Linked DNA regions of Rattus norvegicus. The protein of the gene in region 4 interacts with the protein of the main gene of each other region in a biochemical or structural test. Links are inferred from orthologs where the notes say so. Each region holds a gene or a part of one and is shown on either strand. Other genes may lie near its edges.

What was found.
Region 1: the proteins of Rpa1 (region 4) and Prpf19 form a complex in vitro, tested with the Homo sapiens proteins (2 studies listed by BioGRID, with this or other methods). The link is inferred for Rattus norvegicus from reciprocal best matches to the Homo sapiens genes RPA1 and PRPF19.
Region 2: the proteins of Rpa1 (region 4) and Rad51 form a complex in vitro, tested with the Homo sapiens proteins (2 studies listed by BioGRID). The link is inferred for Rattus norvegicus from reciprocal best matches to the Homo sapiens genes RPA1 and RAD51.
Region 3: the proteins of Rpa1 (region 4) and Atr form a complex in vitro, tested with the Homo sapiens proteins (2 studies listed by BioGRID, with this or other methods). The link is inferred for Rattus norvegicus from reciprocal best matches to the Homo sapiens genes RPA1 and ATR.
Region 5: of the proteins of Rpa1 (region 4) and Cdk1, one has a biochemical effect on the other in vitro, tested with the Homo sapiens proteins (2 studies listed by BioGRID). The link is inferred for Rattus norvegicus from reciprocal best matches to the Homo sapiens genes RPA1 and CDK1.
Region 6: the proteins of Rpa1 (region 4) and Rfwd3 form a complex in vitro, tested with the Homo sapiens proteins (3 studies listed by BioGRID, with this or other methods). The link is inferred for Rattus norvegicus from reciprocal best matches to the Homo sapiens genes RPA1 and RFWD3.
Region 7: the proteins of Rpa1 (region 4) and Atm form a complex in vitro, tested with the Homo sapiens proteins (3 studies listed by BioGRID, with this or other methods). The link is inferred for Rattus norvegicus from reciprocal best matches to the Homo sapiens genes RPA1 and ATM.

Annotation. Positions count from the first base shown.
Region 1 is NC_086019.1:216,965,224-216,969,306, reverse strand, and holds the start of Prpf19 (pre-mRNA-processing factor 19), read right to left. Parts: upstream 2,801-4,083; 5' UTR 2,614-2,800; coding exon 2,595-2,613; intron 568-2,594; coding exon 418-567; intron 259-417; coding exon 182-258; intron 1-181. UniProt on the Homo sapiens protein: Ubiquitin-protein ligase which is a core component of several complexes mainly involved pre-mRNA splicing and DNA repair. Required for pre-mRNA splicing as component of the spliceosome.
Region 2 is NC_086021.1:126,564,210-126,567,709, reverse strand, and holds part of Rad51 (DNA repair protein RAD51 homolog 1), read right to left. Parts: intron 2,687-3,500; coding exon 2,569-2,686; intron 1-2,568.
Region 3 is NC_086026.1:105,382,822-105,386,321, forward strand, and holds part of Atr (serine/threonine-protein kinase ATR), read left to right. Parts: coding exon 1-43; intron 44-1,496; coding exon 1,497-1,640; intron 1,641-3,185; coding exon 3,186-3,336; exon of another isoform or gene 3,337-3,500. UniProt on the Homo sapiens protein: Serine/threonine protein kinase which activates checkpoint signaling upon genotoxic stresses such as ionizing radiation (IR), ultraviolet light (UV), or DNA replication stalling, thereby acting as a DNA damage sensor.
Region 4 is NC_086028.1:60,653,280-60,656,779, forward strand, and holds part of Rpa1 (replication protein A 70 kDa DNA-binding subunit), read right to left. Parts: intron 1,228-3,500; coding exon 1,051-1,227; intron 297-1,050; coding exon 189-296; intron 1-188. UniProt on the Homo sapiens protein: As part of the heterotrimeric replication protein A complex (RPA/RP-A), binds and stabilizes single-stranded DNA intermediates that form during DNA replication or upon DNA stress.
Region 5 is NC_086038.1:19,263,894-19,268,092, reverse strand, and holds the start of Cdk1 (cyclin-dependent kinase 1), read right to left. Parts: upstream 2,801-4,199; 5' UTR 2,725-2,800; intron 1,524-2,724; exon of another isoform or gene 1,433-1,523; intron 616-1,432; exon of another isoform or gene 566-615; intron 69-565; 5' UTR 43-68; coding exon 6-42; intron 1-5. UniProt on the Homo sapiens protein: Plays a key role in the control of the eukaryotic cell cycle by modulating the centrosome cycle as well as mitotic onset; promotes G2-M transition via association with multiple interphase cyclins.
Region 6 is NC_086037.1:56,153,816-56,157,315, forward strand, and holds part of Rfwd3 (E3 ubiquitin-protein ligase RFWD3), read right to left. Parts: intron 2,335-3,500; coding exon 2,184-2,334; intron 1-2,183. UniProt on the Homo sapiens protein: E3 ubiquitin-protein ligase required for the repair of DNA interstrand cross-links (ICL) in response to DNA damage. Plays a key role in RPA-mediated DNA damage signaling and repair.
Region 7 is NC_086026.1:62,752,130-62,755,629, forward strand, and holds part of Atm (serine-protein kinase ATM), read right to left. Parts: intron 3,479-3,500; coding exon 3,390-3,478; intron 3,299-3,389; coding exon 3,196-3,298; intron 2,525-3,195; coding exon 2,376-2,524; intron 908-2,375; coding exon 803-907; intron 1-802.

The DNA.
Region 1 (4,083 bases), on a different chromosome or scaffold from region 4:
GAGGGAGGCCTCATCTGTTCAATCCTCAGGTCCTAGCCCGGAGGTGCATTCTTTTTTTTTTTTTTTGGTTCTTTTTTTCGGAGCTGGGGACCGAACCCAGGGCCTTGCGCTTCCTAGGTAAGCGCTCTACCACTGAGCTAAATCCCCAGCCCCCGGAGGTGCATTCTTTTCACAGACTCACCCACTCATCCTGCAAGGCTTTCAGAATGGCTGGGATGCTGGTGGCAGAGGGAGGCTTGGGCCGGATTGGATGAGCAACTGCCAAGAGAGGCAGCAAAGCAGGTATGAAGAACTAGAACCCGGGAACTCTTCCCCTCCCCCACTCACAGCCACCATCTTCTCCACCAGATTGGCACCACCTCCCACTCTTGAAGGCTGAGCTGAGATGGCCTTGGACCAAGGCTATTGGGCAGGCACCTTTGATGTCGATGAGCTGCTCCTCTGAGAGAGGCTGGTTGTTGATAGGATCTGTGCCATTCTCTGCAATGTACTTCTCAATGAGTCGCCGCTCATACACATGATTAGAGACAGGGGACACGCATGGGTGCTCTGGCACTTCGTTGGAGACTATAGAGAAAGACAGGTAGTGAGCCACAGGGTAAAAGGAGACTCTTCACTGTGTCAGCCCCAACAAGACCCTGTCCTTTATAGTCAGCTATCAGGAAGCAAGGTCTGTGACAGCAAGCCTGCCTGTACTTGGTCCCACAATGCTTGCCAACTACTTACCTAGAATCTCTGGTCTGCTGATAATAAAAGTCAATAAATAATAACTGCCCAGATCCTATGTGCCAGTGCGGTATAGAGTGGTCGATCTCTTTTTTGAACCCAGATGACTAGGCACATGACAGAGAAGTACACAGAGCACAACTCAAACTTCTGTCATCCATCGGGAGCCCGAGATGGATCAACAAGAGAAATTACAAAGCCATGTGACAAGCACTGATAAATTAAAAACAAACAAACAAAAACTTTCCATTGCTCTGCTACTACGTGCCAGGCAGAATTCTATTCTAAGCGCTCGACAGAATAGTCTGTGTACCCTTGAAGATGGGACTTACAGCTGTCACTGACCTCCAGGACAATGCAGAAGCGAAGCACACACTTGATAAACATCAGAGCAGATTAAATAAGTGCAAAAGTACTGGGGCTCAGAAAAGAATATCCCAAAGTATGGAGCCCTGGGCATGCCAAACTACCAAAAAAAAAAAAAAAAAAAAAAAAAAAAAAAAGCCTCAAAAGCAAGAACCAAGGTCTCTCTGACCTTCTCAGACCCCCCTTGCTTCTCTACCTTCCCCTAAAAAAGACAACTGGATCACTCAAGCAGACAAGTGAAAGCTACCTCCACATCAGACTCTTCTGAAGGCCGCTCTAAGATAGTGACTTATCACATCACAAAACAGCTCTTATTCATCACATAATTCTATTCGCCTTCCCATAGGTTGTGAGTCAACAACCCAAGGCTTCAAGCTCCTATCCTTCTCAGTGTCTTCCCTTAGAGTCACTTAATTTTGCAGGACTCCATGCACATGTAATTAAGTATTTGTTTCAGTACTTAAAATCCCTATTTTTGTATATGGCTTTCCTGTCCTATTCTGTAGGTTTATCTCACTACTCAACGACTGAAGCTTTCTGAGAGCTTTCCCTCTCCTACCAGAGGAAGGATGGCCCTGGGCATGTAAGAGTGTTGTTTCAAAGATGAAAAGGAAACAAATCGTTCATAAATACTTTGCAAACTGCTATTTCTTCACTATGAGACTTCCTTTTCTGTTTGTCATTTCCCTCCTTCCTTTCCCTCTTTGAATTAATGGCAACGTTCTGAGAGGGAAAGAGAGAAAGTGAGGAAACTAGTAATGGGGTAAACAACTGGGAGAACACCCGCAATGCCGTAATACAACACCCAAAGACAAGACCATATACTACATGGGAAAACCATGGATCCAGGCTCAAAGAACCGAGCTCCATGGCTTAGTTTCGTCGCACACCCCTGGATAAACCCATTCTTCAAGTCTTCCGACAACCTCTGTAACACACGGATCTTTATTTCCCTTCAGACAATTCTTGTAAGCATAAAATGAGATCACCGTTTGGAAATGCATCGTAAATCAATACAGGTTTTCTAAACATTCGCTGTTTTCATTAGTCATACTGCGCGAGGCTAGAAGCCAGACACCTGGCTTCCAGCCCTGGTCTCGAAGTCACTGCATGATCTCTGCAAATCAGAAACTCCAATTCCTAAGCGAGGTTTCCCAAGCAATATCCATTGCAATGCTTTCAATTTTGCAGGTGGGGAAACTGAGGCCCAAACCCGCTAGAGCCCAGATCACAGTCGGAGGCGGATCCTGGACACGTCCTCGGGTTTTTGACACCAAGAGCTGTTTTTCACTGCACCAGCTCCTCCCCCCACTTCTGCTCAGGCCTGTCTCAGCTCTGTAAAACGACGCTGGCTTCAAAAGACCCCTGAGACAGTCATTCTTCCCAGCTACGTGAATTGCGCATCACTGCGCAAATGCACCCTGCACGCAGGGCCGGGGGCTCTAGGGCCCGAGCCACAGCGGCCGCACACGCTCCCGCCTCCCGCCGCAGCCAGCACTCACTCGAGCAGATCAGGGACATGGCGCCGTCGTAGCGCTGCTGCCAGTCGCCTCACAGCGGGTTCCCGGACTAGCTCTGCAGCCTCCGCGGGCCACTTCCGGTCCCCCGCCGCTTCCGGAGCGCTCGGACGCGGGTAGACAGCTGCCCGGCGTGGCGATGCTCGCACAACTGCTTCACGTGGGGAGGTGGCCGGTGGCGCGCCTCAGCCTTCTGCAGCTAACGGAAACTGCCCTTTCCCAGCATGCAACCGAGCAGGAAAAGGCCCGCCTCGGAACACTCGGCTGTTTCCGCATTGGCTCGGCTTCTTCCGGCGAGTTTTCCAAGAGGCCTGAGGCGGGAAGGAGAGCAGAAACTACATTTCCCATGAGGCTGCGGGGATCTTAAACCTAGGAATCTGGCCAAGGCTGTTTTTGAGGCGGAGCTGCTGTCACCCAGGGAACACTAGTCTTTGAAATGTTCGTGTGCAGGACAGATTTCTCAGGAGCTTGTAAAAATGCAGATTCCTAGGGTCTGCCTTAGAGAGTCTGTAGGTATGATTCTGAGCCTGTGTTCCTTGGCTGCCTTTTGAGAAACAATGTGACCCCGTAAATAAAGCACAAATGAGTAAAGAAGCTAACACTGTCTAGGTTCTGTCTCTACTCTTGCTCTGGGAATTTGGGCAAGTCCCTGGCTTCGTTGCCTGCTACGTTTTAAATATAGTCTGTTTTCTAAACTCGAGGGAATTTAATTCCTGGCGTTTATGTGAATATTTAAAAGAATGGAAAGTTGATGGGTGTGTTTGCACAAGTCTTTAAGCACAGGCACTGAGCTGCAGAGCCAGGCAGAACTCCGCGTTCAAGTCCAGCCTGATCTGTACAGTGAGTTCTAATCCAGGACAATCAGGGCTGTGTAGAGAAAGCATGTCCCAATAAACAAACAAACCGTAAGAGTGGAAAGTTAACAGGACTATGGTGTTTTTCTGTGGTTTCATTTTTGTTTCTGTTTTTCAAGACAGGGTTTGTGTGTGTGTGTGTGTGTGTGTGTGTGTGTGTGTGTGTGTGTGTGTGTGTGTGTATAGCCCTTGGCTGTCCTGGAACTCAGTCTGTAGACAAGACTTGACTCAAACTCAAAGATCTTCCTGTCTCTGCCTTTTGAGTGCTGAAATCAAAGGGATGTGTCATTACTATCTGGCTTAACTGTGGCATTTAGAGGTGGGATCTTTGGAATTAGAATAGGACATAACAAGAATCCTGGTGGGGTTCTTATAGGAAAGAAAGTGAACAGGCACAAATGCATGAGTTGACTTCCATAGTTGTGACACCAGAAGAGGCCCTAGACATTGCCTGTGTCATTCCCTGTGAACCTTGTGCTTCTAGAACTTTGAGCCAAGAGGGCCCTCTTTTCTTTAAAGTAGCCTGCCTCCGATATTTGTTAGAACAACGGTTCCCCGCCACCTACCAACTGTTTATGTTTTCTCTAACAAAAACCAGACCGGCCGCTGGGCCTGATACC
Region 2 (3,500 bases), on a different chromosome or scaffold from region 4:
TTCAATAATCAGCAATTCATTAATTTGCTTCTTTTCTTTTTGTCTAGGCTTACTAGTTCACACCCGTAAGCCAGCTATGTGGGAAGATGAAACAGAAAGTTCTAAGGTTTAAAACCTGCCTGGGATGTTCAAGACCAATCCGCACAGTACAATGAGACACTGGGTCTGGCAATGCAGCTCAATCGTAGAATGCTCCTTAGATAAAAGGCCTACATTCAACTCCCAATATCGACAAAAATAAAAGTCACACTTATTTTTAAATAAGTATAGGTTATTTGTAAATTGGAGGTCTGGGCACTCATCCCTGAGTCTCCCAGGCTTAGCCTTACATTCCTTAGCCCTCAGTATGTTCACATCTCTCCATATGCACTCATTTGGTGTTGCTATAGTTCTCAGGCAATTTTATTGCATGTACAGCTTCAAGTAATTGCTACCATAATGAAGTTACAGAACTCAACCAAGAAAAGCCAACAAGGGCTTCAGCTGCTTTAATATAACCTGGTATTTACTATTTTTTTGTGAACCTCCTTGTCCAATTTACTTAAACGTACCATTCATGTAGTTCTAAAAGCCTAGGCGATAAGAAGACTTATCCTCATCTTGAAGAAAACAGGCATAGGCACATTAAGTAAATACTAGAAATGAGAATTCTTTTATTTATCTTTAATGAGACAGGCTTTTATGTAGTTTAGGCTAGCCGCAAACTCATCCCATACCTGAGGATAACACTAAACATCTAACCCCTTTCCCTCCACACCCCAAGTGCTGGAATTTCAGGCAGGAGCCATGGTCTCTCTACACAGCCTTTGTGTCCTGGAGGGAAGGGGATCTTCTTAGAGGGTTTAAAACTCAAATTCTGCATGATTCCTGAACCCAGGCTATTTTGTATCCCAAGAAGGAAGAAAAAGTAAATAATCAAATAACTAGAAAAACAGCAAGAACCAAACTTAAAAACTTTTCAACAATGAGGACAACTATGTTTTCAAAAGTTTAAAACCTCCCAGACAAGGTGTAATCCCAGCACTTACGGAATAGAAGCAGTGGGAGCTCTGTGAGTTTCAGGCTAGCTGGTACTACACAATAAACAAACAGATACATACATACATACATACATACATACATACATACATACATGCATACATACTAATATGTACTACACTGAGTAGTATTTAAACAGTGTTTTGTGGCAGGAAGCATAGCTCAGTGGTAGGAGATGTGAGTCTCTGGGCTCACCCCCTTCCCATATACTTCTTCTGTTTCTAAGTTTGTTATTATTGTACTGTGTGTATGACATGTGTGAGGTTGGGCAGGCATGTGCCACAGCTCACAGGTAGAGGGCAGAGGATAACTTGGGAGAATGGGTTATCTCCCTCTACTGTGGGTTCTAGGGATTGGATTCAGGTCATCAGAGTTGTAAGACAACCATTTGCATTACCAGCCATCAAGTTTCCAATCTTGTGTTAAAATTAGAAAATAAACAGGGCTGGAGAGATGGCTCAGCGGTTAAGAGGACCAACTGTTCTTCCAGAGGTCCTGAGTTCAAATCCCAGCAACTACATGGTGGCTCAACCATCTGTAATAGGATCCGATGCCCTCTTCTGGTGTGTGTCTGAAGACAGCTACAGTGTACTTATATAATGAATAAATAAATCCTTAAAAAAAATTAACACTTAAGATATAATATACATATAATACTTATTTCCTTAAACAGGGGGAACTAATTCTTTATATATAGTCAGAGCTACAAAGACACTGTTTCAACAAAACAAAACAAAGCCAAAAGTTAATTTATAGATAGGTAATTTTAGTATTTTATAAATCAGAGCCAGAATGAGTAACTAATGCGTATGTCAAATCTTCACACCTGGAGTATAGGTGCAGAAGACGGGGAATGTAAGTATATTGTTAGCTCCTGAATCAATTCCTAAAACCACTAAACATAATTAAAAAATAAAAATGTCTTATTTTAAAAATGTTACATTTGTAGAATGTTATAAAGAAATATACAAGGAAGTTTTGGGTACACGTCACCTGGCTTCCTCCGATGTTACCTTAATCTTTCCTAACTGTAATAAAGGATCTATGAGAAGCTGATATTCCTACAGTCCAAAATACATTCGATTCAGCCTGAATCTTAGATCTGTTGATACAAGCCAAGGAATCAAAAATAAACAAAACAAACAAGAAAACCCACAAAACAACAACAAAACCAAAAAACAAAACAAAACAACCCACCCCCCCCCAAAAACAGTTCCCCTCAAAACAAAGAAAAATCTAAACTAAAAATCTTTACAGGGGTTGGGGATTTAGCTCAGTGGTAGAGCGCTTGCCTAGCAAGCCCTAGGCCCTGGGTTCGGTCCCCAGCTCCGAAAAAAAAAAAAAAAAATCTTTACAAAAGCAAACCTACAGAATCAGCCAGTCAAGACCCTGAAGAAATCTACTATTCATACGTCTCTATGTAGTATTCTCCCCTAGGATGAATTCTATAGTAATAGTCTGGCTTTGTTTTCACCTCCCATCTGTGTTAATTAGTTAGGGTTTATAAAATAGGATGAGGGGTTACTATACCTTGAAGTAGTTTGTCAAGCTCTTTGGAGCCAGTAGTAATCTGGATGATTTCTGACCGGCGTTGGTGAAATTCGGTTGCAGTGGTGAAACCCATTGGAACTAATTTCGCTGCCTCAGCCTAAGAAAACAATAGGACAGGTTAAAGTAGTAATGTAACACAGGTACACAGGTAAAGAAACCACTATCTGGGAAAGTTGGGACCCAAAATGCTTTAGACTGTGAGTTTTGTATATTTTTGGGCACTTGGGTAGACTAACAGTTTAATATCCTTCACTGAAAATTCCAAATATCCCAAAATCTGAATCTTCTTGAGTGTGAGGTTTTTGATAAAAAAAAAAAAAAATTCAGACTTCTGTGCATATAACCTTATTTTTGTAGTGGAGATGCTCAACCTACATGTGTTGTAAGACAAGCCCAGGAACACAACAGGAAAACACTCTTATGCTAGTATGACAGGAGCGCACCACCACAGGAGCCGAAAAGACAAGGTAGCATGTCTTCCTACCTTACTTCCTATCTGTCATCCCTTCAGATTCTCCTGCCTTGTAAAACCAGGATGCTATTCGCAGCTTTTCTCTTTATTGTTTATTTTCCAAGTATATACAAATAACACTTAGCAACAAAAATGAGACTTTAGTTTGAAAAAAAAAATCAGTCAATATGACAGGACAATAAAACTAAACACCTGGGGGTCTAGAGAGATGGCTCGGTGGTGAAAAGCACTTGCTGCTCTTGCAGAGGACTCACATGGAAGCTTACAACTGCCATAATTCCAGTTCTAGGGGACCCAGCACCATTTTCTGGCTTCCACAGGCACCAGGCATGCATATAGTACACTTAAATACACGCAAGAAAAACACTCATACATATATAAGGAAATAAATCTTTGCAACAGTAACAGCAATCAACAGTAACATCTAGAGGCTGGAGAG
Region 3 (3,500 bases), on a different chromosome or scaffold from region 4:
CTTTCCTGGGCATTGGGCCTATCTTGCAGGCTTCGACGATGTGGTAAACTTCAGTTTTATATAACTATAATATAATTTTTAAATGTAGTTACCTTCAAATTAAATGTAGAGAAGTGAAACTGTCTTTACTGTAGTACAAAGCTAACTGATACGGAATCATAACAAGCCTAACATTTTGATCTTCACATGCTTTTATTTCACGATGACTATTTTCTCATTATTATATTTTCCTATATTTTCTTTTGTCTTAGAAAAATGGAGAGCAAATGAGCAAAATACGTGTTTATTTTTTTCTTATGAGGAAACAAGATTCAGATTACTTGTTATTCTCTATGTGTGCATGAATTAATATGTGTGTGTGCCATATCCCACAGGAGGTCAGAAAATAATCTCAAGTCGGTCCTCACCTTCTACTTTGTTTCAGAAGAGTTTCAAGCTAGCTGGCCATTGGCTTCCAAAATTCTTCTATCTCATTATAAAGCGCTGTATCCCAGGGATGCTCCAAACTCAGTTCCTCACACCAGTGCAGCAGCTCCACTAACTGAACATTTCCTTGGCCCATCCCTCTTTTTTAAAATGCACTGCTAGGAGTGAGCCTGTGGCCTCTTACCTGCCAGGCATCCCCTTTTCTTCTGTCCCACATCCCTACTTGTGAAACATGGCTGTAAATGTATGCTTATTTTAAGGAAATAGTCCTAAGGAAACGCTTTTAAAGACTCCATGGGGCTGGGGATTTAGCGCAGTGGTAGAGCGCTTGCCTAGGAAGCTCAAGGCCCTGGGTTCGGTTCCCAGCTCCGAAAAAAAGAAAAAGGAAAAAAAAAGAAAAAGAAAAAAAAAGAAAAAGAAAAAAAAAAGACTCCATATTTAGTCTATAGTTTCTATGACTTAAGGACATTTTAAAACATTTTTAGAACCACTTACATTATACACTATTACAATCATGTTGTGTTTTTAACCTAAGCAGTAATTTTTAGCTTAATTACATCATGAGGTAGGCTTCATTTTGGAGAAGTTTCTTTTTCAAAAACAAAGTACTTTCAATTGATAAACTTGTTCTTTGAAATTTTTATATACTTATATGATGTATTTTGATAATACTCTTCCAATATTATGATAAACATTTTTATTATGTAAGATTTTGTGACAATATTATGATAAACATTTTTATTATGTAAGATTTTATTATGTAAGATTTCTAAGGACTACCTGAATATGCATGTGTAAGTATTTGTTTGACTGACAAAGTCAGGGTTTGTTGGGTTTTTTGTTTGTTTGTTTGTTCACTTCCTGTATAGTTCTAATGTTTAAGAAAGTGTGTCCCTATTCATAGACGTTAATTTTTAGCTTCTAGATAACCAAGGTAAAAGAACATTTTAAAATACAAATTTACTACATACTCCTACTTACTCTTTCTTATGATGCATAACTCAATATAATATTCAAATTTAACAAAGAATTTCAGTCTTGTCTTAACTATAACACTCATTATTTTTTAGGTAGAAATTCTTTCTTCTCTTCAGAAACCAAAGAAAATCTCCTTAAAGGGCTCAGATGGAAAATTCTATATCATGATGTGTAAACCAAAAGATGATTTGAGAAAAGACTGTAGACTAATGGAATTTAATTCTTTGATTAACAAGGTTGGAAACAGTTTGCTTTATAAAGATTTGTTTATATTATTTTCAGTGTGTGTGTGTGTGTGTGTGTGTCTGTTTGCATCTCTATCACTATGCACATGTGTACAGGAGCCTGCTAAGTCCGAGGCATGAGACTCCCTGGAGCCTTAGTCTGATGACTGTGCACCACCTGAGATCGGTCCTGAGATCTTAGTCCGCAAGAAGAACAGCAGTGCCTGACCTGCTGTGCCGTCTACCCAACCTCATTGCTTTTATTTTAGAATTAGGAAAATAATCGTCATAGTCATGTGGACTTCTTAATAGGCAGATAGATTACTGTTGAAATGGAATGTATCTTTTAATTTTCATTTTTGTGATAAAATGTACATACTATCATTTAAATCAGTTTTCAGTGTCATTGAGTGTATTCTCATTGTTTATCTTCTTGTCCATTATGAATGCTTGAGTTTCTTCCACCTGATACTTTGAATGAGTAAACCAATATTTGTTCAAGTCCCTCTTATCAGATTTTTGGATATATTCATAGATTTAAATTGTCTCCTTTACTTAATGTTTAACAATTATTATTTTATTTTTAAGGGATGTAAGGCATTAATGAAGGAAAATATTTTCTACTTAATGGCTTTATATAAAGCACTCTATTACTTATCTAGAACCCAAGGTTTCTGTTTCAAAGCTAGAAAAAAAAATGGGTTCTGTTTTCACAATGTCACTGTTTAAAAGTAATCATTAGCATTGATTTTATTCTGTTAGTAAGTGCTTGCTATCTGACTCAAAGAAATATGGGAAGTCTAATTTAAGACTTATTAGCTAGGAGTGGTGGTGGTAGCACCATTTAAGGGACTCAGTCAGGAAGGTTTCAAGCATAGTTAGGCTTCAAAGAATCATCTACAGGGAAAAAATAATTTTTCTGTGCGGAAGTCACAGATCTCTGTGTTAAAAAAGAAAGAAAGAAAATCAAGCAAATAAATCATTATATGTAAGCCAAAAATGACTTGAGAAAGGATTGAACTAATGGAATTCATTTTTATTAGTAAGTTTTGTAAACAAGACCCAGTCTCAGAATTAAAGGTTAATTATATCTATTTATACATAGACATACATGCATTACTGGTTTGGGCTTGTTTTTGGTAGATAGTATGATTCCTTATGAAATTTTTCAGAGAGGAAAGTAAAATAGCAATTCTTAGATAAAATGAAACATCAGTCTCTGTGCTTAAGTACTTATCGATAGTTAATCATGATCTATAACGCAGTAGAAAAGAAGACAATAGCGTTTTGTCATTGATGTGGTTATAAATACTGCTTTTCAAATGTAGTATTCTGTTAAATGCATAGTAGAGAGCTAAAAAGAAGCTATTGTACAAGGCATTTTAGGGCTTAAAGGAGAATAGGTACATGATCCCATAGCTTCCTCCTCTAAGTTTCAGAATCATTCATTACAGGCTGCCATCAGCGCATATCCTAGGAAAGAACAATATTTAGATATACATTTGACATAATAGGAATCTGAATTCTATTTTTTATTTCTGTCTATGTTTTCCATAGAGCTTAAGAAAAGATGCAGAATCACGTCGAAGAGAACTTCATATCCGAACATATGCAGTTATTCCACTGAATGATGAGTGTGGGATTATTGAATGGGTGAACAACACTGCTGGCTTGAGACCTATTCTGACCAAACTATACAAAGAAAAGGGTATTGTAGTTATTCTTATGATAGAAGCATATACTGAGGTTGCTAGCTACAAACGTGTAATATGTAATAATAGTTTTTATCATATCAATGCACATATTTTACCTAAGCCTGGTAGAATTTATATTCTACATATAGAAGCATGTAGGATCTTCTTTCTTCCCTTC
Region 4 (3,500 bases):
CGGCTGGTGCTTCTGTGCAATGTGCTCTACGGTCCCCAAGGCCATCACCTCACAGGACACACACAGAGGACACAGGTTAAGTTCTCACTCAGTGCAGTGAGAGCGCAGACACCACACCCAAAGCAAGCATGCAACAGCTCAGTGGCACCAGGCAAGCACATCACCATGCTGACAAACACGCAGCCAACCTTCTCTTTGAGTTCCCCAAGGTACACAGTGTTCTGTCCAAGAATGGCCTCCGCGGACTCCTGGAAACACGTCACCCACTGATTCTCCTGAAAATCTGCAATATTTACCTAAAAAGACCACAGCTCTATTATTTCAGCGAGTAAATAACAAAAGGAAGACACAACAAGGAGGGGGGATTATCTTTTCCCACTTAAAGTAATTCCAAGGAGAAAAGGTGTTGCATCATACACAGGCCCATCTCTGTGCTTTGGTTAACAGTCCCCTCATATGAGAAGGTTCACTTTTAGTACAGTATCCAATACATCACAGGGGCTACTCGATACTTTTATCATAAAGCGGGCTGTGTGTCAGGTGCTTCTGACCAAGCGTAGGCTATGGAATGCTCTGAGCACACTTGGGAGGCTATGCTGGGCTAGCATTGTTAAGTGCAGGTAATGCTATGCCAGTCTTATGCCATAGGAAGAAGTTTAAAATGTGGTCTAGCTCAGTCTGTTGGAGATGTGAGTTTAGACCTCAGGAGCTAGGCCAACTCAACTCCCACAGACATAGAAGCACCAGTTAGAGCGGTTCCTTCTTAATGCAAAAGGCTTCGCACTGCAAGTTTTTAAATGAGCCTCCATGGTAATAATGGGTTCCTTTCTTTTTATTTTACTGATTTGTTCTCTCCCCTCCTTCACCACGCTTGACATCTTTTAGTTTTTGAGACAGTGTTGTCCAGCAGGGCAAAGCCTTCCTTATTTACAATTTGTCCAGTCCAAATTCATCTGTGACTTCCTCACCACCAACCACACCCTCCAGTGTCATGCCTATGACAGTCAGTCCATGAACACCATAAGGCTTCTCATGATCCACTCTACTCACCGATAAGATCATGCGGTATTTGAAATTGGGAAATTCCCGGTCGCACTTCTCACAGCGGTACAACCCATTCTGCTGGTCAATCACTTTCTTATTGCAGTCCTGGGTCGGGCAGGCCTGGTACATACAGTTCTCTTTGCGAAGAAACACCACTGTTGCCACAGTGCTGAAATAGTCCGCCTGCAGGAGAAAAGGGAGCCGGCATCAGCGGGCTACACAGGTCTGGAACAAGTGACTCAGAGCCGCTCCTCCTTCTAGTAGTGAGTGTGTGCATATTCTAGTCCCATACTCACCGAGCGATTACAGAGTCGCTAACGCTGTGGTTTCAGAAATCACACGTGCTACACGCAAACCCACAGAGGTTACAAACCAGCAGTCAGGCACAGCATTTCCCCTTGTTGGAGACGGCAGCTCACTAGCTAGCCTTGAACTCAGAGAGGTCAGTCTGCCTCTGTCTCTAGAGTGCTTAGCCATAACACCTGGCCACTTAATTCTTTTTACAGTTATTACATACATGTATCCGTGTATATGATGTCCACAAGTATATGAATGCAAGTATGCATGTGTGCACAGGTCAGAGGACAACTTTCAGGAGTCAGTTCTCTTCTTCCACTGTGGGTTTCAGGGAACTCAGGTTTCCAAGATAGCAGAAAAAGTGCCTTTAACAGCTGAGTTATCTTGACACAGAATATTTAAAAATTATTTTTCAAAATTACATTTATTCAATGTGTATATAGTGGTTTTGCATGTATTCATATATACCATAGCATGTGTGTGAGGGCCAGCAGACCAGAGGACAACTTGGTGATCTCCCTTCACCAGGTGAGTGCGGGAGAGCGAACTCAGGCTGTCAGGCTCAGGGGCAGGCACTTTATACTGAGTCACCTTGCTGGCCAAGCACATCATTCCTTACACAGGGATTTCTACCCTTATCCTGAGGGATCGGTAAGCCTTTCCCCAGACCAGCCAGAAAACCCTTTAGGCCCAACGAGCCCTTCAGTCAGTCTCTACTGCCACTCCTCAACCAGCTGCTGTGGGTCAGGACAACCCGAAGACAACATGAAGACAGAAGGTGAACCAGCAAACTCTTACTGGTGGTGACAGACAGCGAGTCACAGCCCTGACAGCGCCTGAACTAAGTAAGTTTGAGAGAATGCAAACATACCCATGACTAAGACCTTCTAAATGGAAAATCCCTGGTAAGTAACCAGCAAGGAACTAAGTCACGGCAGGGGAGATACCTGCTTTTCGATGAACCTTTCACAGAAGCTCTTGTTTTTGTTTATACTCAGTCATGGCAAGTAAACTGCAAAATGCAGGTAGATCCTGAATTCAGAGATAGGCTACCCACTCCCCCAGCCCACGGCCAGGTTCCCACTGTGTAGCCCTGGCTGTCGGTAGAGCTCTCTATACAGACTGAGCTGATATCAAACTCGGAGACCCACTGCCTCCCAAAGTGTTGGGATTAAAGGCATTTGCCACTATGCCTGGCTTACACTGGTTCTTCCAGAGGAGCAAAACCAATTATGGCCATTTAAAGAGACTATGTTAGAAACCAGTTTAGACAGCTTTAGGGCTGTGGGTGTAGCTCAGTGGAAGAGTTTGCTTAGCATGCACGAGCTGTTGGTTTTAACCCTCAGCTCGACAGAACTGAATACATAAGAAGGCTTAGGGGTGGGGATGGAGAGATGAATTAGAGGGTAAGAGCATTGGCTGCTTATGCAGAGACACAAGATCAACTTCCCAGCACCTACATGGTGGCTCACAAACATCTATAACTCCAGTTCCAGGGGATCTGATGTCCTCCTCCTGACATCCTTGGGCACCTGCCACTCATTTAAGCTCACATGCAGGGCCTCAGGCCACTCTGCCGGCTTAAGCGAAGGTGCTGGCTGTCAAGCTGGATGGACTTGAGGTTGGTCCTTGGGACCCACAAGGGCGAGTTTGATTTCTATACACCGAGGTGAAACACTCATGCCTTATCCTACAGTTTTAAAGAGAAAACTGTAGAGAAATAAATTTTAGGAGAGTGCCTAAAGAGCTTCTCTGCATTTCCCGGTTAGACTCAGACTCAGCCTGCTCCCAAGTCTGAGAGCAGACAGGTATTCTGTATTCCTGGTCCTGGCTGTCTACTGGCTGTCTTTAGTTTAAGAGAGCAACTAGGTGAGAAGAAAACAGGAATCTAGCCGACGTTTAATTCTCAGGATGTCCTGTAATAGCATTATAAGTTGCTGTGGATGACAGTGATGGATCGGGCGCACAGTGAAATGAGACAGTGAGGAAGAAAACCTATATTGTACACTATGGCAATAACGGGGCAGCAGCAAGCGGTATTCAGAGTACAATAGAAATAAATGATTCAAACATCCAAGAGAACGCAGGTTAGACCAGGTAGGAAGAGGATCACTAAGAACACATTTAAATGGAAGCTGCAACGGAAATGGAATACCAGA
Region 5 (4,199 bases), on a different chromosome or scaffold from region 4:
CTCACCTTCTCCGATTTTCTCTATTTTGATATAGTCCTCCATAGTTACTCAACAGGTTACAACGGACCCTAAAAGGACGAGAAACATGGCTGTGGTCATGTGGTCATAATTCAAACAGTCGGAAGTATCCGGAAGACAGACGTCCCGGAGGAGTGCTTTCCATCACCTCCAGCATAGCCTGCCACTATCCGCCATTCCTTCAGGCAGTATTGTTGGGCTTTACCTGCTCCTGCAGTGAAGCGTTCCGAGCCTTCTCAGACACTGCCTTTGTATATTCTATACAGTGTTGTACATGGCCCCTTCACATTCACAAACCAAGCAGGCCTGTCGACCCAGCTACTAAGGAGACTGTCACACAGCCAGCTAAACGACTTAGTGATACTATGTCTCAAAAGAAATAAGCAGTAGTCCCTGACCCTCGGGACTTAAAGTTTCAAAACGGAAGTATAATGATTTTAATGCCAGTATTTCAACACGTTGCTACTGTACTAAAATTGCTTTATTTTTTTTTCCTTTAAAACAATGAGAATCTGTGAGAAGGAAGCTGTGCATGATGTAATCCTACCGTAAGGAAGAGCAAGTTCGAGGCCAACCTGTGGCCTAGTTTGCTGCAGCCCTGTCTGAGAAGGAAACAAAGTACAACTGTAAAGTCCAACCCCTAGAAAGGAAGGACAGTCATTTTTTAATAAAAGCTTCTGTTTACCTTAAAAGCATTCAATTCACTTGAAACAGCATGAACTCCTAGCTGCACAAGTGAAGTAAATCTTTTCGGAAACCAGCCACAGACAATCCCACTCAAGACTCAAGACTTGGAGGGAATGCCAATAAGCCCCTTAGAAGGAAGTATGTGAGGTGAGGAGCTGGCCAGTTTAGGTCACATTGTCACAAGCTGAAGTCACCAGAGAGGGAACCTCAGTTAAGAAAATGCTTCTGATAGGGCTGTAGGCAAGCCCTTAGGGTATTCTCTTAATTAGTGATGATGGGAGAGGGCTCAGCCCATTGTGGGAGGGGCCATCCCTGGGCAGAGGGGCCTTCCTTCTAGAAGAAAGCAGGCTGTGCAAGCAATGTCAAGGAAGCCAGGAAGCAACACCCCTCCATTGCCTCTGCATCTGCTCCTGCCTCCAGGGTCCCGTTCAGACTTCCTCTGTTATGGAATTGTGACGAGGAAGTACAAGACAACTAAACCCTTTCCTTCCCAAGTTGCTTTGCTTTGGGCATGGCTTTTCACCATAACAATAATAACCCTGACTAAGACAGTTTGAACAAAACCCTAATCACACCGGCAAAAATATCATGAGCAAGGAAGGAAAAAAAAAAACCTTGGCTCACAAAGAATGGCAGAAAGAAAAAAAAAAGAAAAGAAAAAACTAAGCGCCTTTTCCTTGAAAGCCCTGGGCAGATCCTTACCAATGAACATCAAGGAATAGCTGACCTTTTGTGAGCTGGTCCTTACAGATCCCTTTGCACTGTAAAATCAGCTCTGTGGGGTGTGGTGGCACAGCCTGGAATCCCAGCTCTTGAGACTGCACAAGGAGACAGGGGCTCAACAAATTAAAAAAAAAAAAATCAAAAAGAAAATGTAAACCTGTCCAAGAGCCTTGCCAGGCATCCCACTAGACCCTGGGGATTCTCATACGCCTAAGTTTGACTCTCAACTATGTATATGTTTAAGAAATTACTCCCCCCCCCCCAAATCCCCTTTCTTCAACACAGAGACGTAACAGAACTATAGTACATTAAACTGTGCCGCCACCTCTGCACAGACAGCAAAGAGTTAAAGTGTCTTCAAAACTGGGCTCATCCCTTCCAACCTTTTCCAGCCTCCTGGGGCTGGTGTTAAAAGCTGCCCAGGGTATCCAAGTTTGGGGGGTTGGGATAGGGGTATGGTGGTCCACGCACCAAGACCTTCATCATTACTTATGTTTTAAGACGATGAAGGATGCGATGGTATCCGCGGTTCTCCCTCTCTCTGTTTCTTAGCCTGGGTAGCGTCTGTGGCCGTCTATAAGCACCCGCAACTAAAAATAAACGATCCTACACTCTCTTGGCTCTGCACCTTGGTGGGATTGCTTTTTGAACGACCACGGGTCTGTTTCTCCGGCAGTACCGACTTGAAGGCCTCCGAAAGCAGCTGGTCTGGTGCAGCCCAGCTCCGCACAGGCAGCCAGCAGGGCCTGGGACCCAACTTGGCACCCCGCCCACACCCGGGGCTCCAGCGAGGCCTGCTCGTCTGCAGGACCCCGGGCTTGGGTGAGTCCTGTTCCTCCATAGAGGATCCCAGCCCCGGGTGATCCCTGCCCCTCCATAGGGGACCTGGGGCTCAGAGGAACCATGCTCCTCCAAAGGGGACCCCGGACTTAGGTGAGGTCATGCCCATCCATAGGGGACCCCAGGCTCAGGTGAGCCCTACAACTCCATAGGGGACCCCGGGCTAAGGTAGACCATGCTCATCCATAGGAGATCGATCCCAGGCTCAGCTGAGTCCTGCACCTCCATAGGGGACCCCAGGCTCAGGGAGGCCATGACGGTCCATAGGGGACCCTGGACTCAGGTGAGGCCCTACCCGTCCACAGGAGACCATGATCTCACGTGGAGGCTCTACCCGTCCACAAGGGGGTCCCCCGGACTCACAGGATGTCCTGCCTGTCCCCCCCCGGGGGGACACCCCGGCTCCCGTGGAGCCCCCGCAGGCCCTGCCGGCACCCTGCCGGACTCACGCCATACCTCTCTGTTCCCGCGGTGGCCACACCGCAGTTCCGGACTGCGCGGACGCAGCGACTCCGGGAGCTTAGAGGCCGAGTGCCAGCAGTTTCAAACTCACCGCGGTAAAGCTCCCCGGGTCCGCCAATCCGATTGCACGTAGACGTTCAAAGGAGCCAATCAGAGCCGAGCTAAGCTACGGCCCGGGCTGCCTGGGAGTGCAGAGCGCGAAAGGGAGCGGAAACCGCGGCCGGAGGAATTACAGGAGGGCGGGCGCCAACTGACTCTTGAGCTCAGCTTTCCTTCCAATGTCGTCTTGTTGTTTCTGGACAGTCTAATCTGTTTTTCCCCCCTCCCTCTACATTTCTATTTGTAACTTTCTTTCAGGATTAACACAATTAAAATGTATTGCATTTAGATAGCTAGCCACAAAAGTGATAATGCCACTACATCAAGAGTTTCTTATTTTTACTACTTTTATTTTGTTTGGTTTTGCTTTTTTTGAGACAAGTTTTCTCTGTGTAGTCTTGACTGTCCTGGAACTGGCTCTGTAAACAAGGCTGGGCTTGAACTCACAGATATCATCATGCTTCTGCCTCCTGAGTGCCCAGGTTAAAGGTGCGTGCTGCTGCCACCACCACCTGGCTACTGCTAACATTTAAAATTACTTTCTGGAATTGGAGATTTAGCCCAGTGATAGAACACTTGGTCCTCAGCTCCAAAGGGGGAAAAATTACTTTATGATTATGCCTTTCAAAAATATATATTAAGCTGAGGATTGTGGCACATGCCTTTAATCCTAGCACACACAGCAGCAGGCATGTGTGTGTGTGTGCATATGTTGTGTGTATGTGCACTGGCATATGTATGTGCACATGTGTGTATGTTTGTGTATATAAACATCTGTTTTTATATATAGCTATAATATATACATACATAATATTAAGTTTCACTATGGAATTGTGAAATGTTATTGGTCTGTGTTAATTCTTCTCATCCTTCTCCAGTAACCCTAATACCCCCATCTTTTTTTTTTTTGGTTCTTTTTTTTTTCGGAGCTGGGGACCGAACCCAGGGCCTTGCGCTTCCTAGGTAAGCGCTCTACCACTGAGCTAAATCCCCAGCCCCCTAATACCCCCATCTTGTAACTGCCCACCCCCACCCCCATAGCCTCCCATGTCCTGGCACCATGTCCATGACTCTCATTTTTCCCTTCTGGTGACCCTTCCTTTGTAGTTCAAAGCTTATATACACACTAACATATGACCACTACATGCTAGGATCCGCATATTTAAAGGAACATGAAGTCGCTGTCTCAGTATGTCTCTGTTAGCTCCCTTGATGTATTTCCCAGATGGCCCCATGTTCCATGATTACAGTTTTGCTAATGAGTGATTAGTGGCCAGCAGAAGGATCACATTTAAAGTGTCTGGAGAAGACAAGGGCAAAGGAACCAATGAAACCCTGAAAGACACTCTGGAAACTGAAAAGAGAAAATG
Region 6 (3,500 bases), on a different chromosome or scaffold from region 4:
TTTTTGACACAGGGTCTGTCTCTCTGTGTTGCCTTGGCTGTCTGTGAACTCACCCTACAGACCAGGCTGGCCTCGAACTCACAGATTCCCTGCCTCTGCCTTAAAGGCATGTGTCCCTACTGCCTAGTTCCTTTAAAGATTTCTTAGAGTGAAAAGGAGTAGGAAGGTAGCTCCAAAGGAATAGATCACACTCAGGTCTCATATTACTAGTTACCCGGGGGACAGACCTGGAGTAAGCAGTCCTGAGCTGTCACTGCAATTCTATGAGGAGACAATGACTTCCCACATTATATCCCAACATCTATAGAACACTGCTCTCATTCAAATAGTTTAATATGGACTTTTAAAGTATGTAATTTTAGGGGATAAAGAGATGGGTCAGTGGTCAACCGCACCTATTTTTCTCAGAGAGGATCTGGATTCAGTTCCCAGCACTCAGATGGGGACCATCAACCACCTGGAACTCTGTTCAGTCCCTGATGCCCTCTTCTGGCCTCTGCAAGTACTGCATGCAGGTGGTGTACAGCAGACACGAGGGCAAACAAGACACACACACACACAGACACATACACACAGACACATACACACAGACACATACACAGACACACACACACACGCACACACACACACAGGCACACACACAGACACACACACACAGACACACACACACACATACACAGACACACACACAGACATGCACACACACACAGACATACACACACACAGACACACACAGACACATACACAGACACACACACAGACACGCACACACACACACAGACATACACGCACACACAGACACACACACACACAGACACACACACACAGACACATACACAGACACACACAGACACATACACAGACACACACACACAGACACGCACACACACACAGACACACACAGACACATACACAGACACACACACACAGACACGCACACACACACAGACACACACAGACATACAGACACACACACAGACACGCACACACACAGACACGCATACGCAGACACGCACACACACACACAGACACACACAGACATACACGCATACACACAGACACACACAGACACGCACACACACACACAGACATACACATACACAGACACGCACACACACAGACACACACACACAGACACGAGCACACACATCCCTCTAGTAAAACTTTTAAGTGAAATTTTAAAGAATTAGAATAGCCCAGCCTTTGATGCAGGCCCAAAATACCAGTTACTCAAAGGAATAACAATTACAAGGTCAAAGCCAGCCTAGGTAAATTACCAAGAGCCACAGAGTTAAAAATAAAAATGGCATGGAGAGGGTTGGGGATTTAGCTCAGCGGTAGAGCGCTTGCCTAGCGAGCGCAAGGCCCTGGGTTCGGTCCCCAGCTTCGAAAAAAAGAAAAAAAGAAAAAAAAAATGGCATGGAGAGAGCCATGACGAATGCTTGTCACACACATTCCAGACCCAGGCTCAATCTGCAGTACTACAAAAACCAACGAACACGAGTCAGACTACCTCACATTAACTCAGTGACCTCCTGTGTTACTTTTAAATTTTTCCTTTTTTGCCCAGTCTCATGCTCTTGGGTTGCTTCCTCATGACCTTTTTTTTTGGTTCTTTTTTTTTTCGGAGCTGGGGACCGAACCCAGGGCCTTGCGCTTCCTAGGCAAGCGCTCTACCACTGAGCTAAATCCCCAACCCCCAGGTCTCTACCTTTTAGGGGCTGGAATTACAGGCATTTGCTACCACAACCCCCAAGTTTATGTCTACTTTTCTGTCTTTGTTTTTAGACAGGGTTTAATTCTGTAGTTCAAGTTGTCCTGGAATTTACTATGTAGTCCAGGCTAACTTCAAACACATGGTAATCCTCATGCCTATCAGGACCCCAAGTCTAGGATTAGAGGTGTCAATCACCACACAGAACATATAGACTTTTATTTCATTCATTTATTTATTTAGAGATGGTCTCTCTACACAGCTCTGGTTGTCCTAGAACTCACTATAGGTCAGCCTAAAACTTGTAGGAGATCTGCCTGCCTCTCCATGCTGGGTTTAAAGTATGTGTTTGGCTGCGTATATCCTTTCACAAGAAGACACTGGCTCAGATCAAAAAAAGGGCACCATAACACTAAGACTAACTTGACGCACAGTGACCCAGGCCCCATCTTTCCCTCGACTCCCTTACCTGGTCAGTTTAATGGTGTTGTCAAGGGAGGCGGAGAGGAGCAAGCCTTTGGATTGATTGCTGAAAGCTAGTCCACGAATCTGCTTGCTATGCATAGGGATGTACTGACTGCTTCTCATGTTCGCAGTACTCAGCATCTTAACACCAAAGCCTACCAAAGAAGAAAGTTAAAACAGGAACACAAAGGTAAATCATGGCAAAACAGAACTGTCTTTTAAAGTAATTAGCACCTTTCAAAAGTGATTTGCTTACCTTTCCTGGAATCCAAGTCCCTAGGGAACAGCTAGTCACATAATGAAAACGAGAATTTCCCAGTTACACATTTTTTTTTTTTTTTTGAGAATGTTTTTCTGTGTAGCCCTGGCTGTCCTGGAACTTGCTCTGTAGACCAGGCTGGCTTTGAACTCAGAGACCTGCCTGCCTCTGACTCGAGTGCTAGAATCAGATGCATGTGCCACCATGCCAAGCACCTTAGGGTTATACTTAAAAAATTTTTAAAAAGCAAAATCCATTTTAAATATCCATCAAGAGATGGATGGACAGATTTACCAAGTATATATATAATGAAATACCACCCAGTAATAAACTACCAATTTGCATAAAAATATGGCTCTAAGAACAAAAAGAAGCACACACTGTATGGTGCCATTTATACAACGTTCTGGAACGTGCACCGGCGAACGGCAGGTCGGTGGCTGCCCGTGAGTGTGTAGAAGGGAAAAAGATAACGGACCTTACAAATCTGTACAATTTAATTTTATGACACTTGTATTTTGGTAAAGCTATTGAGACAGGTGGGCATGGTAGGATGTAATTACAATTCTAGCATTAGTAAAGGCTTGAGGCCAGCGTGGTCTATACAGTAAGACCCAGTCTCAAGTAGACAAATATAAAGGAAGCCGTCTGGACAAATATCAAGCACATCACCTACAAAAAGAGGTTAATTCAAGATTCAAAGACAGGAACAATAAAGAACAGAGAAAGGGCCGGAGAAACTACCATGTCAATTCATCTTATCCAAGATTCATTCGCAGTCATGCTTTGCCACATGCGTGATGTACACTGTGGGCCACCTGGCACCCTCACGTGGCCAGACCAAGGGCGCCTGTCAGCCCTCCTGGGACTGGAGTTACAGTCTGTGACAGATGGTTGTGAGCTGTCACGTGGGTGGCTGAGAACTGAACCCGGGGCCTTTGGAAGAAGTTAGTGAACTTCACTGCTTTTAACCATCTCTCCAGCCCTAGTTGTGCCTTTATCTCTGTGTGGGTATATGCACGTGAACGTGGGCCCCCACAGAAGCCAGAAGAGGGCATTAGA
Region 7 (3,500 bases), on a different chromosome or scaffold from region 4:
ACCAAAATGTCCGGATTACATAGGGAAGACCCTCTGGGGAAGGGCAGCCCAGCCCCTAGACTGGAAAGTTCAGGATTGGGGGCAAGGTATACCAGGCAGGGACTGAGGGATGCTGGGAGAACAAGGAGGCCACGTCTGCTTTGATGTGTAAAATATGCACCTCAGTCCCCTGTTCTGGGGTCTAAAACCAAACAATAACCAAACAACATGTATAGGATTTATGATGTCAGTGGCGAGTGTTTAAAATATTCATGTTTGGGGGTAGAGAGATGGCTCAGTGGTTAGGCGCACTGGCTGCTCTTAACCAGGGTTCAATTCCTAGCACCTACATGGCAGCTCACAACTATCTGTAACTTCAGTCCCAAGGGATCACAGACGTATACGTAGGCAAAAACAGCACTGCATATAAAAATAAATAAACCTTAAAAAAAATTCATGTTTGTTTAACTTGTTACAGCTAATTGCTACACCATGTATGCCTCAGAGAAACCAAGCTTACAAAGCAGAGCTATGATGGTAAGAGAGTGAAGGCCATGAAACTAGAAAGGACAAAGGTTAACTCTTCCAGGACACGTGTACAAAAGAGAATACTATCATGCTTTTCCAGAGGGCGCAGACTGAAGAACTGACGTAGGTCCTCAAGAAAATCTTTCTTGAGAGCAAAGAACGACAAAGAAACGCTTGAACTCAGCCACCAAGTCTTATCCCTTCACTGACGCAAATTCTTATTTAAATCTACTCACATTTTGAGGATAGCAGCCACAGCATCAAATATAAAAACAATCTGTCTTTTTTATAATACCTGGCATGTCGGAGACTGTCATAAAATGTGGAGAATTCTCTGTTTCTTAGGCACTGCAGAGCATTATACAACGATTCGTGGTAACTGGTTCCTTCTAGTTCTTGGCTGCGAGATGATTAAAAAACAAATTTAAAAATGGAAAACTCTGAGATATGCATCTATAACTAACTCAAAGAACAATGTTGAGAACTAAAATTAAGATTTCTCATAAAAGTTTGCAGAGATTAAGAAAAATATGTAGCTGGTGCAGCGGCATATGCCTTTAATTGGTAGGCAGAGAGAGGTGGATCTTAGTGAGCTCAAGGCCAGCCACAGTCACATGGTAAAATCCTAACTCAAAATATAAACAAAGGGGGTTGGGGATTTAGCTCAGTGGTAGAGCGCTTGCCTAGGAAGCGCAAGGCCCTGGGTTCGGTCCTCAGCTCCGCAAAAAAGAACCAAAAAAAAAAAATATATATATAAACAAAGAGAAAAAAAACAAACAAGCCAAAGCAGTAAAAGGCAGTGAGAAGAGGAAAGCATTTTACAGGTCATTTAAATTCTTTAAAAAAAAAACCAAAAACTTAGAAATTCTAGTTGGTTCTCAATTTTACATTTAAAATAAATATTTAAAATGAGAGCAGTTGAGTGGTGGTGGCGCGAGCCTTTGGTGCCAGCACTCAGGAGGCAGAAGTAGGATCTTCTGGTCTACAGAGCGAATTCCGGGACAGCCAGGGTTACACAGAGAAACTGTCTCAAAACAAACACAGAAAATTCACCTACATATGAATAAATCCGCTTTTTATACCACTCCTAACATGAAATTTGATAAACACTCCAATTTATGAAAACATTTTTCCATTAAAGTAATTAAAATGACTTAATTTTTTAGCATTCTATCAGACTTTTTTATGTAACTATTAAATCCTTTAGTAGTCTAGGTGTTTTGGTTTTCATTTAAAAAATACAATGATTTGAAATACAGGCTACAACTTTTATCTTCTTGGGTAACTTGGTTTGGCAGTACTTTATAAACTGCCTGGTTATCTGTTTGTGGTAGCCCTGGCTGGCTTAGTACTCACTATGTAGTCATGGCTGGCATCGAACCAGAGATCCACCTGCCTGTGACTCCCAGTGCACCACTGCTCCTGGCCTAGCACTACTTTTTAACAGCAGCAACGACAACCACCACCACAAAACATTAACAAAGGTAACTGATTTTATCACCCAGCCAATAGAAATGCTTTTGACTACAATGTAGCAAGAAGTGGTAGGGAGAAGGCCTACACTTGTCTTTAGATTCCTCAATTCAACAATCAATATTTTCACAGGAAAAGGCATTTTTAAAAATTTCTATCTACAAAACACTTGAAGCAGGGGATAGAATTTCTCTGGTGGAAAAAAATAAGAATGAAATTCAACCTTCATTGTGCTAGCTGCCTATTGTATACTAAATATTTAGTCATATGTGCGGCCCATAGTGTCTGTACAATATATTAAAAAACAAAAGCCAGCAGCACTCATAGAGAAAACAACCAAATGCACAGTTTCAGGGTCAGATAGAAGCAGTGGGGAGAGGCTGGTTTGCTCTCACTTGGCAGAAGTGCAGAGGTCCCACTGCATGTTCCTCCACGCCGCCTGGTAATGAAGCTCCTGCAGTTCCCCACACCACTCTCTCCTTTCATGGTCCAATCCTTTCAAGTAGATAGAAAGAATATGGGAGAGCCCCAAGTTCTGCAAGGCCTGAAAGGAAGTTATCACAAAATGAATACATGATCAAATACGTCAGGATAGAGTAGACCAGTGGTCTCAGCCTTTCCTAATCCTGAGACCCTTTAGTACAATTCTTAATGCTATGGTGACCCCGAACCATAAAGTCATTTTCACTGCTACTTCATAACTGCAATTTTGCTGCTGTTATGAATCGTAATTTAAATATCTTGCATGTGACTTCTGTGAAAAGGTCAGCCAGCCCACAAAGGGGGTCGCGACCACAGGTTGAGAACCATTGAACTAGCGAGAAACCCAGCCCCCACCCCCAAATTTTAATTTCAAAAATTTTAATTAACAGTATCACTTAAAACTCTAAAATATTGCTTAGCGTGTATATTTCTCCTCAGAGAATGTTAATGTTTGGTGGAAAGATACCTAAGCCTATTATAGTAAAAGATAGGACAGTTTCCTGGACCAACTCTAAAGCAAACTAGTGCCATGTGAAGCACTACGAGTGTCTCCTGGCAGGCATACTGTACACACTCCAGAAGTGTCTTCTGCTGTTGGGTAATAAAAGTATTATCAACAAACTACAGTGACCTGTGCAGCTTTCCAATGTGTACTGAGGTGCTGGCCTAATGTCTGACAGCCTAACTCCACTGACGACAGCTTTACGGAAGCAGGCACGGATGGCAGTGTACCTGGATGATTCCCGACTGGCGGGTGGAGGAGGAGATGGTGGTCTCAAGGTCGTATGTCACTAAGGCTTTCTCCCACGTTGCTTCATGCTCGTACGTCCTTATTCTGTAAGAGATGACGGTGAAAACATCTTTTGTTTCTGTGCGCATGGAGCTCCTTCGAAAGGCAGAATCACTATCTGAAAGGTGCAACTTACCGGGTAAGGGGTTGTAACACTTTCCCTCCCCCGCAGCCATACAGGCTGTCTGGCTCTCCTATACTTCTGTAGATCTCCAAGAGAAGATCCTGAAAAGAAAAATACCAAAGG